Linked DNA regions of Cricetulus griseus. The protein of the gene in region 1 purifies or fractionates together with the protein of each later gene. This does not show direct contact. Links are inferred from orthologs where the notes say so. Each region holds a gene or a part of one and is shown on either strand. Other genes may lie near its edges.

Region 1 (3,500 bases):
TTGAGGATCTGAGAGCACATCCCAGATGGGATACCCGAATCTCATTTAGAGGATGGAACTAATATGGCGAGAAGATAGTTTTCAAATAGGTGAAGTTGTGTGGCATTGAGAGGAAGCATAGAAGTTAAGGGACTGTCTGTCAGTGCACAAAGAAGTAAAGGCATTCATTTATTGTCAGAGGAATATCTGAGAACTGGGTTCTAAGATGAGTGTAAGGAAGTAATATTAAACACGCTTAAAAGATCACTGGTAGAGAGCTAAAATTTTTTTTAGTTGTATTTGGGAGGTCTTGCAAGTTAAGAATACTCATGAATAATTTATTAAAAATAATGTTCAGAAATTATTCATGTTAGCACCGCTTATTTTTTGAACTATTTGGTAAAGCCATAAATTTGGTTATTTGTATAAGTGTAATAATAGACTTTATTAATTAATTATTAATAATGGTAACCAAATCAAATATGAAGATTTGGAAACTAAGAGCTAGTTATATATTGCTGTTACTGCCCCTTTGCTACTTGTGGCAAATGAGAGGGTGCTGCTAGGTGACTGCAGCTGTGTTCTTCTAATGAGGTCTCTATTGCCTGGCCCTCCCTCCAGTGCTTCATTTGCAATTAAAAGTGAAATGTCAAACAAAAGAAGAAAATGAAACTCAAGTGGGATATATGATTGTTGAGACATAAAAGGATTTGGGATCAAAAGAATGTATCCTTTCCCTTAATTACCTTGTACATTATAAACTCCCTATGTATTTTCTCTTAATACAAAGTTGTTTTTTTTTTTTTTTTTTTTTTTTTTTAATACTGGAAGCAAATGTAAAGGACTCTCAAGGCCTGCAAAGTTTCCAAGGTCCTCTTGAGGGTTGGGGCTTGACTACCAATTTAGACTACATTCAGATTTTATAGATAACTATGATGACTTAGTAGACATAAGTGAGTATAGTTGACACCAAAAAAAAAAAAAAGAGTATCATAATTTACTTGAAAGAACTAAGTAAAAGAATATGCTTACATTGGTATTTTGACCAGACTACATAATATGGTCATAATTTAAACTATCTTCATAATCCCAGCATGTTGAACATCACTACAAAGCCTTTTTAACTTTATGCAACTTAGTTGCATACCAGCTCCCCAAAACTTTGATTTCCATGACTATTGAAACTCTGAACAGAATGATTTTTTTTAATGTTTCACACACGCAACTGATTTCTTTTCTAGCACTTTGTCACTTGACTCCAAGAAAAATACATTCTTGCATAAAAAGGTATATATGGCTATTTATATGACTTAGATAATTATACTGTATGTAACACTTTACATATTTGAAACATTCATTAGTAAAGTAACATGGCTCCTACTGAGGTCAAATTATATACATCATCAATTTAAAATTATTCCATCATAAGATAAAATATTGTGGGAAAATGTGTTTCTACCATCTCTTAAATGTTTTATCAGGAATTGATTCAAATAAAAAACAAGTTGGAGAACTTTGTTGCAGTTTTTAATTTTCTCATAAAAGAAAATTGGATTGTTATTGTATTAAGAACTGTAAACTGGGTGGTGGTGGCACACGCCTTTAATTCCAGCACTCGGGAGGCAGAGGCAGGTAGATCTCTTCGACTTTGAGACCAGCCTGGTCTACAAGAGCTAGTTCCAGGACAGCCTCCAAAGCCACAGAGAAAGCCTGCCTCGAACTCCCCCCCAAAAAAACAAACAAACAAACAAAAAAAAAAACAGGGTTTGCCCAAAGTTGTCTTCCTAGGCTTTACTGGTCAATACTATCATTTATAAATACTGCCAGCCAGATGACAGGTTTAAAAACTCCTTTATGATAAGGCATTGGCTGCAGAAGCAGTAAATACAGTCATTGTCATGGTATCCACAGATACACAAGTGTTTTTGGTTTTTTGAGACAGGGTTTCTCTGTGGCTTTGGAGGCAGTCCTGGAACTAGCTCTTGTAGACCAGGCTGGTCTCGAACTCAGAGAGACCCGCTTGCCTCTGCCTCCCGAGTGCTGGAATTAAAGGCATGCACCACCAATGCCCGGCTGATACACAAGTGTTTTATATTAAATGACTTACAATTACCACATTACCTAGGTATCTCCTATACATTTTAAATCATCTCTAGCTTGCCTATAGTGCCTTTACATTTTACCAGCTAAAGAATAATGATCAAAAAACTTTTGTTAGGTATGAATGTAACTTTTTTTCCCAAATATTCTCCTATCTGTAATTGAATTGAGGCCATGGATATCATGAACCATCTGTACCTCTTTTAAGTGATTTTTTTTTTTTTCTTGCATGCTATCTCAGTTTTTACCTGCTCAGGCTCATTTTCAGGTGCCTGGGATGATTAGACAATCCATAATTCTTACCAATCAAGTAAAAGAAGGAAAGAGAACTCCGAGCTTCTCTCCCAATTAACAGGTAGTTTGCTGTGGTCAGAATTAAATGTAGATTTTGCAGCAACACACATTAGTATTTTTATTATAAGTAACTGATTGAAAGTTTGTGAAATGAGTAAGTGCCCCATTTGAGTGACAGTTAATTAGTACAAGAGACCATTTTTGTTTCTGTATATGATAGAGTAAATTGATTTGATTCACTCTTCATTTTAACATTATGTATTTATGTTATTACTTTTACTTTAAGATGTATTTTGTTCCTTGCAGTGTTTGAGCAACACACCTCCACTTACTGAATATTTCCTCAATGACAAGTACCAAGAAGAGCTGAATTTTGACAATCCCTTAGGAATGAGAGGTGAAATAGCTAAGTCATATGCTGAATTGATCAAGCAGATGTGGTCTGGAAAGTTCAGCTATGTCACTCCTAGAGCATTTAAGGTGAGTATGATAAGCTTACTCTCAGCAAGTGTGCTCTTGTCCCCAGAAAATCAAGAAAGAAAAGAAAAAAATACTAAGGTGAAAGGGATGATGTCCCATTACAGTGTCATCCCATCCATGTGACACAGGGCACAGGACAGGGTGGGTGATTAGGGCTCTTTGTTTGTTTTTGTCTTTCTTTCTTTCCTTTCTTTCTTTCTTTCTTTCTTTCTTTCTTTCTTTCTTTTTTTCTTTCGGGGGTTTGAGACACCTGTGTAGCTTTGGAGCCTATCCTGGCACTTGCTCTGGAGACCAGGCTGGCCTCGAACTCAAAGAGATCCACCTGCCTCTGCCTCTTGAGTGCTGGGATTAAAGGCGTGCGCCACCAACGCCTGGAGTGGTTTTGTTTTCTTAATGTCTGGAAATGGGCTGGAGAGGGATGGCTCCAGTTAAGAGCACTTCCTACCTCTCCAGAGGACTTGAGTTTCCAGTACCCAGGTTGCCAGCACCAACATCAGGTGGCTCAGAAATGCCTCTGTGACTCAAGCTGGAGAGGATCTGATGCCCTCTTCTGACTTCCATGGGCATCTGCACTCAGGTGCAAACTCACACTTGTGTACACATAATTAAAACTAAATCTTTATGAAAAAGGTTACTAATAAAGGGAA
Region 2 (3,137 bases), on another chromosome or scaffold:
GCTGATGTTGGCCCCACATCTGACCACGATTTTGAATAAAAACCTCTGATGGAGCTGAAGATGCAGCTTAGTGAAGCATGAGCTTGGTTTGTAGACGGCCCTAGGTCTAATCCCCTGCATTGAATGCTCCTCCACTTCCCCAAACCTGATAAATAAAAAGCCTCTACTCTGTGTACAGGCTACAAGCCTGCCCCACACCCTTCGGGGTCTGCTGCTCACCCATCTCTCCTCCAACATCATGGCTCTACCTGGGGCCTTTCCCGTACATAAGCTCTCACCCCATTCTCTAAGCTTTGGGTCTATCTTAGGCGACAATTCCTTCTAGGAAGCCAGTTGCTACACAACCCCTTCCCAACCTCAGGGCTGCTCTGGAGACTTCCTTTGGGCTCTTACCATGCCTCTGACATCACATTACTTATCACAGAGATGGCAGCATTACCATCAATTAACTGCTGGGGTCGGGACAAAATCCCTCCCCTGCCACATGGCACATACACAACAAATGGGTTCTGACTGCACACTTAGTGTCTTCTGCCGTCCTGCCTCATTCTCCAGCACCAAAGACGACCCAACTCTCAGTAGCCATCACCACATCCCACCTTATACTCCTTGATCTCCTCCTGCAGGATCTCATCAGCATCTGCATAAACCTCCACCTTCCTTTGCTTCTCCAGTTTGCGCCGCAGCCGGGAAATATCCTCCTAGATCAGAAGATGCCAGGCTAAGAACCTGCATGCCTGCATGCCTCCCGCACTGGTAACCCACAGGCCCTCCCCAAGCACATACCTGAGCCCTCTTGAGATTGAAACTCTCTTTCTCTCGGGCAGCCCGGCTCTCTGCCAGGCACGGCTGGATCTCTCGAAGCCGAGTCTGCACATGCTCCAACTGCACCTTCAGGTCCTCAGCCAACTGGGCTGCTTCTACAGCCTGAGGTGGGTGGGAACAGAAAGAGAGGACTGTATGCCCAAGCCTGGGGGGCCACAGTCCACGGATCCTTCTGTCAAACATCCAGAGTGACGTCTGCACTGAGGCTGACCCTGCCTTGTGGTCCACAGCCTCACATCTTCCCAACACAGCTCCTTACTGTGTAACAGTGCTCCCTCTGGCCTTTGAGCCTCCAGCAGGCTCTTCTCTCTCCTGCCATCAGCAACTCTCCCTGGGATGCAGCTCTAAAATCATGTCTCCAAGGAGCACTATTACTTTTTCACACAGCCTTAGTTTCTTTCATCAAGCTGTTTGAACCAAGTATAGTGTGGCATGTGTTTGTCGTTCCAGCAGTTTGGAGGCTGAGGCAGGAGGATCACTGAGAGCTCAATGCTAGCCTGGAATACAGTACAAACTTGTTTGAAAAAGAAAAAGAGCCTGGTGTGGTGGTGCACACCTTTAATCCCAGCACTTAGGAGGTAGAAGCAGACTCTCTGAATTCAAGGCCAGCCTGGTCTACAGAGAGAGCTCCACAACAGCCAGGACCAACTGCACAGAGAGATTCTGTCTCAGAAAACAAATGAGCAAACAAGAAAAAAGGAAAAAGAAAAAGATGTGAGTGACGGGCAGCGTGACTTATGTGTGGTGTCACTGGTGGGGAGGGAGGGCTCACCCAGTGCTGGTTAGCATAAAGCCGAGCATGTAATAGGGACATAAAAATCCTGCTTACATGAATGAATTCACCAGAAGAGAATACACCAATAGTTATGAAATCAACATTAATCCGGTCTCTTTAAATTCTCTCTTTAATAATTTAATATTTCCATTTTATGAGCATTGGTGTTTTGCCTGTATTCATGTCTGTGTGAGGGTGGTGGACCCCCTGGAACTGGAGGTACAAACAAGTGAGAGCTGCCATGTGGGTGCTGAGAATTGAACCTAGATCCTCTGGAAGAGCAGCAATCTTAACTCTGAGCCATCTCTCCAGTTAATCCTCTTTCTCAATCCACTTTCAAACAAAGTCTCTAAATATTCCAGCCCAAGCTGGCCTCAGACTTGCTAGGTAGCTGAGGATGACCTTGAACTTCTTGGCCCTCCTGCTGACCTTTCCAGTGCTGAGTTTATAGGCCAGTTTTTATACACCATCATGCCCAGTTTATACAGTGCTGGAGCCTGAACCCAGAGCCTGATGTATGCTATGGAAGTTTACTCACCGAGTTACATCATCAGTCCGTTTTTCTTTTGTTTAATATAAACACTTATACTCTCAGCACCTGGGAGCCTGAGGCAGGAGGATCAAGAATTCAAGCTGGGCTGAAGAGATGGTTCAGTAGTTAATAACACTTGAGTTCTGGCAAGGGACCTGGTTTCAGTTCCCAGCACCCATGTGGCAGCTCACAGCCATCTATAACTCCAATTCAAGGGTATCTCATGCCCTCTTCTGGTCTCTCAAGGGCACCAGGCAAGCTTGTGGTACAAAGACGAACAAGTAGGCAAAGACATTCATATGCATAAAATCAAATAAGTAAATATAAAAACTAGTGCATGTGTTTCATCTCAGTACTCAAGGCAGATCTCTGTGAGTCTGAGGCCAGAGACCAGCTCTGTCTAGTCTACATAATGAATTCCAGGACAGCAGGAGCTAAATAGAGAGATCCTATCTCAAGACACACACACAATAAAAACAATTAAAATCTATCACTGCCCACACAGTAGTTGGTGAAGTGTTCACAAGCACCTGAGTTTGATTTCCAGAACACACAATTAAAAAAAAAAAAAAAAAAAAAAAAGAAGCAGAACCAAGCTTCACCCTGATCACCTATCAGGACTGCCAAGCAGAGCCACGGGGAATACATGCTCAAAAGCCCAGTCTTACCTTCCTCTTGTTAAGCTCCAGGGCCTGGCTGCGCAGGGTCAACTCCTTCTCCACACCCCCAAGGCTGCCCTGCAGAGCCCGCTCCTTTTCCTCAAGCTTCTGCACTGTCAGCAGCTGGGCATCCACCTGCGGATGGGAGGCCTCAGTACTGGGTGCAACCTCTCCAGCTTCATCCACAAGTGTCACACCATAGCTGCCATACCTGAGACTTGAGGCCAAGAACCTGCTCGCCCAACTCATCCTTCTCCTCTCGGAGCAGCTTGTGAATCTGGTTGGCCTTGATCCGCTCTGACATGAGTTTAAAGTTGGCGTCATCCTTTTCCCGCAACTGCTGCAG
Region 3 (3,500 bases), on another chromosome or scaffold:
GGCAGGGCTCATGGCCGAAAACATCTGAAAGTAGGTCTGCGATGACTAAACAACCTTGATGTTAACTCTACAACAAAGGGGACCGGCAAACTTGTATGTCACCTGCACCTCTCAAGCCGGGCTGTGCTCCAGAAGGTCGGGTAAGGTAGACCAGTTCTAATGCAATAATTTACACATATCCAAATTTGGAAATCTCGTATCCAACTTAAGGGAAATTTGAACTCACTCTAGTGTTAAAGGGTAGAAAAGGCAGCAGAAATCAGTGCCTTTGTCTTGTGGTGTGGAACTCCCTATAAATGTGGTATGAGGTGGGAAGACCTCTGAAGTGGACATAATGACTGTTTTAGGATAGTCAGGCCAAGCAGGGCAGAGGCTACATTAAGACAGAGAGAAAGTGTTACCAGGTAGAAATCGCAGTTGTCCATTGTCTGTATTAAATAAACTACCAGCTTTATTGTCTGTGAGGTCGCCTCCTCACTCAAGGAGATTTTTAAGTGCTTGAGGGAGAAAAACCTGTAGGAAATGATGAAGCCCAGGGAACAGGCCTTGGGAATCTTGGACTGGTACCACAGTGAGCGCCTGGTCAGCTTGGGAGACAGATGCCACAAAGGTGAGGAGGGGCTCCCCCTGTAGCCTCTGTTGCTCACTGTCTGGTCCTTTCAGTTCCTGGGTCACACGAGCTTCCATTGCCAGCCACTCTGCTCCAGTGGTGGTGCCTCCTCTGCCTTCTTCTTTGGTTTGTTGCTGTAATCGTCTCCGGGCACGCCGCCTCCCCTGCCACACTTGGTGCCACAAAGCACAGCGCCAGCTCGCTGATGAGAGGTGTGATGTTTCCTTCCCTGTCTCACCCTGAGACTCTTCTCCAGCCACTTCGGGTTCCATGGGCTTCTGCTCAGCCAACTTGTCTAGACACTTCCAAGTCATCAGGGGCAACTGGCCTGATGGTGCAGAGCTCAGCAAGGCCCTGCCCTGAGACGTCTCTCGAAACTCTATTACCATTTCTTCCACCCCATTTTCACTGTGGTCCCCTGCACATCCCTGCGACTTCTCATTCCCCTCCTCCCAGCTCTTCTCTTGCCCATCTAGTCTCTGTCTTTTGTTTGTCCCTCCCAGGGAAGGGTCTTTGGTCCTGGGACCCTCTGACCTGGGCCTCTTGGTTCCCTGTTCTATATGACATCCAAGCGCTTCCTTTAACACTCGCACAAGAGCCGTAACGATCTGAGGAAAGGGGGCAGGTGGTAAGGGGATGAGCTTGGCAGACAGCAGGGAGCTAGGGGAGCTGGGCTGCAGAAGTGGCAGTAGTCCCCAGTCCCGGCCCCGGAAGGAACGCTGCTGGTACTGGAGGCTTCGGCAGTAACTAGCTGCTGCCCCACAACAGTTCTGCAGACGTCTGGCCACCCGGCTGGTTACATTGGCTGCAACATTGTGACTCAGGTCAAAGGGATCCTGGAGATTCATGGGGCCAAGGCGCAGCCCCTCCCAAAGATCAGAAGGCAGGCCCCCTGACACCAGCAATGCACAACCTTCCCGGAGGGACAGCAGGGAGCCCGAAAGATCCCAGCAAGAAACACAAGAGAAGAACTGGGCCAGCAGAGAACCTGGAAAAGGCAGATTAGGAAAAGGGTGTCTGTCACTTAGAAGCCATAATTGGGACATCCCTGCTGCTACTTCAGTAGGACTTTCTTCCCTTCTTAGGGCTTCAAAAGTGTCCTGAGAAATCCAGCTCCTCAGCCATGTCCTGCCCAGATGCTGCTGCTTGCCCTGGAGAGCAGTGTAACTAGGGAATACACCTCTTACTTAGCTGCCCAAGATATGGTTTTGTCATCCTTAAAACAGCAACCATGAGGGCTGGAGAGATGGCTCAGAGGTTAAGAGCAATGCCTGCTCTTCCAGAGGTCATGAGTTCAATTCCTGGCAACCACATGGTGGCTCACAGCCATCCGTAATGAGATCTAGTGCCCTCTTCTGGTGTGCAGGGATACATGATACATAGAGGCAGAATAATAAATAAATCAAAAAAAAAAAACAACAGTCATGGGGTTAGTGAAGACCGTGCCTATTCTAGAACTTAATATTATTGTTAGTTGTCTCCTAGGTTCCCCAGACTCACTGAGAGGCTCTAGGTTGGTGCTGGGCTCCAGTCGGGACGCATCCTTGGGGAAACTACAGTCCCAGCCATCAACTTCTACCTGCTCCCCTTCACCTGTGACAGTAAGAGAGGGTCAGGCTGGAAGTAGGAAAATTGGGGAAGAACGGGTAGAAAGTGGGGTGACAGTTGAGAAGAGGCTGCGGAGGTGACAGTAGAGGCTGTTCTGCATTACCTGATCTCTGGGTGAGCTGGGCCACAGGAGGAAGCACTGGAGGGTCTCTAGTCTGAAGGAAGTAGATCACTAGCAACGTCAAGGCGTAGTTATTGAGAAGGGGGCCGCCCCCTGAATAATAACCAATAATTCCAGTTAGGAAGAAGTATTTATAATCCCTGGTTCCTGTGCCCACCTTTTTTTCACCCTAAATCCCTCCCTTTGCCTAACACTAGCTCGGGCCAAGTCTGTGCTCTCCTCATTCTCACCTGACAGCCCATTATGCTGAGCCCAGCAGCGTACGGTATACACCAGAGGCCGGACTCGACCATCCATCTCAGAGCAGAGATTCAGGAAACGGGAGTTGTACAAGGCCAGCCTGGGACAATGGAGACACAAAGTTGTTATGGTGTAGGAATTCTTCAGACCTAATATCCTTCTATCTTTCATTATAGACTTAGGACCAGCTAAAATAAGATCCAAAGAGTTTTTCCCAAAGTTTTGCTAAAACACTGGTTATATGAAGGGGAACAAAATAAATAAATCTAGGGAATGTGGTTAAATGATGGGACATTTGCCCAGAGCCTGAGAGGTGGGGTGGGGGGAGTATGTATCAGTGGAACCTTAGGCAACACTACATTCCATATGCTCATTCTATACAGTCACCATTCATAAACCATGCTGCTTATATAGAACTGTTCAATAGCTGGGTATGGTAAGCATATGCCTATAATCCCAGCACTCAGGAGATTGAATAGGGAATATGGAAACCTTGTCTCAAAAGATAGAGGACCAGTGAGACGGCTCAGTGGGTAAGAGTCTGCTACCAAGACTGATACCTCAGTTCAGTCCCTAGCATTCACATGTTACAAGGAGAGAGCTGACTCCCACAAGTTGTTCTCACTACAGAGATGAGATATCACAAACAAACACATAATTTAAAACTTTTTTGAAGCCAGGCATTGGTGGTGCATCCCAGCACTCGGGAGGCAGAGGCCAACTGATCTCTGTGAGTTTGAGACCAGCCTGGTCTACAGAGCAAGTGCCAGGACAGGCTCCAAAGCTACACAGAGAAACCCTGTCTTGAAGAAAAAAAAAAAAAAAAAAAACACAGCACTGCAAACTGCACATTCCTGTAATCCCAGGATTCAGGAGGCTAAGGCAGGAGAATCAAGGGCTGGAGGCCAGTACAGAAGACAG

The links.
Region 2: the proteins of Usp15 (region 1) and Rnf40 purify together in Homo sapiens (affinity purification with mass spectrometry; 4 studies listed by BioGRID and IntAct, with this or other methods). This does not show direct contact. The link is inferred for Cricetulus griseus from reciprocal best matches to the Homo sapiens genes USP15 and RNF40.
Region 3: the proteins of Usp15 (region 1) and Tut1 purify together in Homo sapiens (affinity purification with mass spectrometry; 4 studies listed by BioGRID and IntAct, with this or other methods). This does not show direct contact. The link is inferred for Cricetulus griseus from reciprocal best matches to the Homo sapiens genes USP15 and TUT1.

Annotation. Positions count from the first base shown.
Region 1 is NW_023276806.1:134,020,105-134,023,604, forward strand, and holds part of Usp15 (ubiquitin carboxyl-terminal hydrolase 15), read left to right. Parts: intron 1-2,679; coding exon 2,680-2,853; intron 2,854-3,500. UniProt on the Homo sapiens protein: Hydrolase that removes conjugated ubiquitin from target proteins and regulates various pathways such as the TGF-beta receptor signaling, NF-kappa-B and RNF41/NRDP1-PRKN pathways.
Region 2 is NC_048596.1:73,156,338-73,159,474, forward strand, and holds part of Rnf40 (E3 ubiquitin-protein ligase BRE1B), read right to left. Parts: coding exon 3,003-3,137; intron 2,927-3,002; coding exon 2,801-2,926; intron 928-2,800; coding exon 787-927; intron 702-786; coding exon 600-701; intron 1-599.
Region 3 is NC_048596.1:51,133,579-51,137,078, forward strand, and holds the end of Tut1 (speckle targeted PIP5K1A-regulated poly(A) polymerase), read right to left. Parts: intron 2,680-3,500; coding exon 2,570-2,679; intron 2,433-2,569; coding exon 2,322-2,432; intron 2,204-2,321; coding exon 2,111-2,203; intron 1,599-2,110; coding exon 475-1,598; 3' UTR 425-474; downstream 1-424. UniProt on the Homo sapiens protein: Poly(A) polymerase that creates the 3'-poly(A) tail of specific pre-mRNAs. Localizes to nuclear speckles together with PIP5K1A and mediates polyadenylation of a select set of mRNAs, such as HMOX1.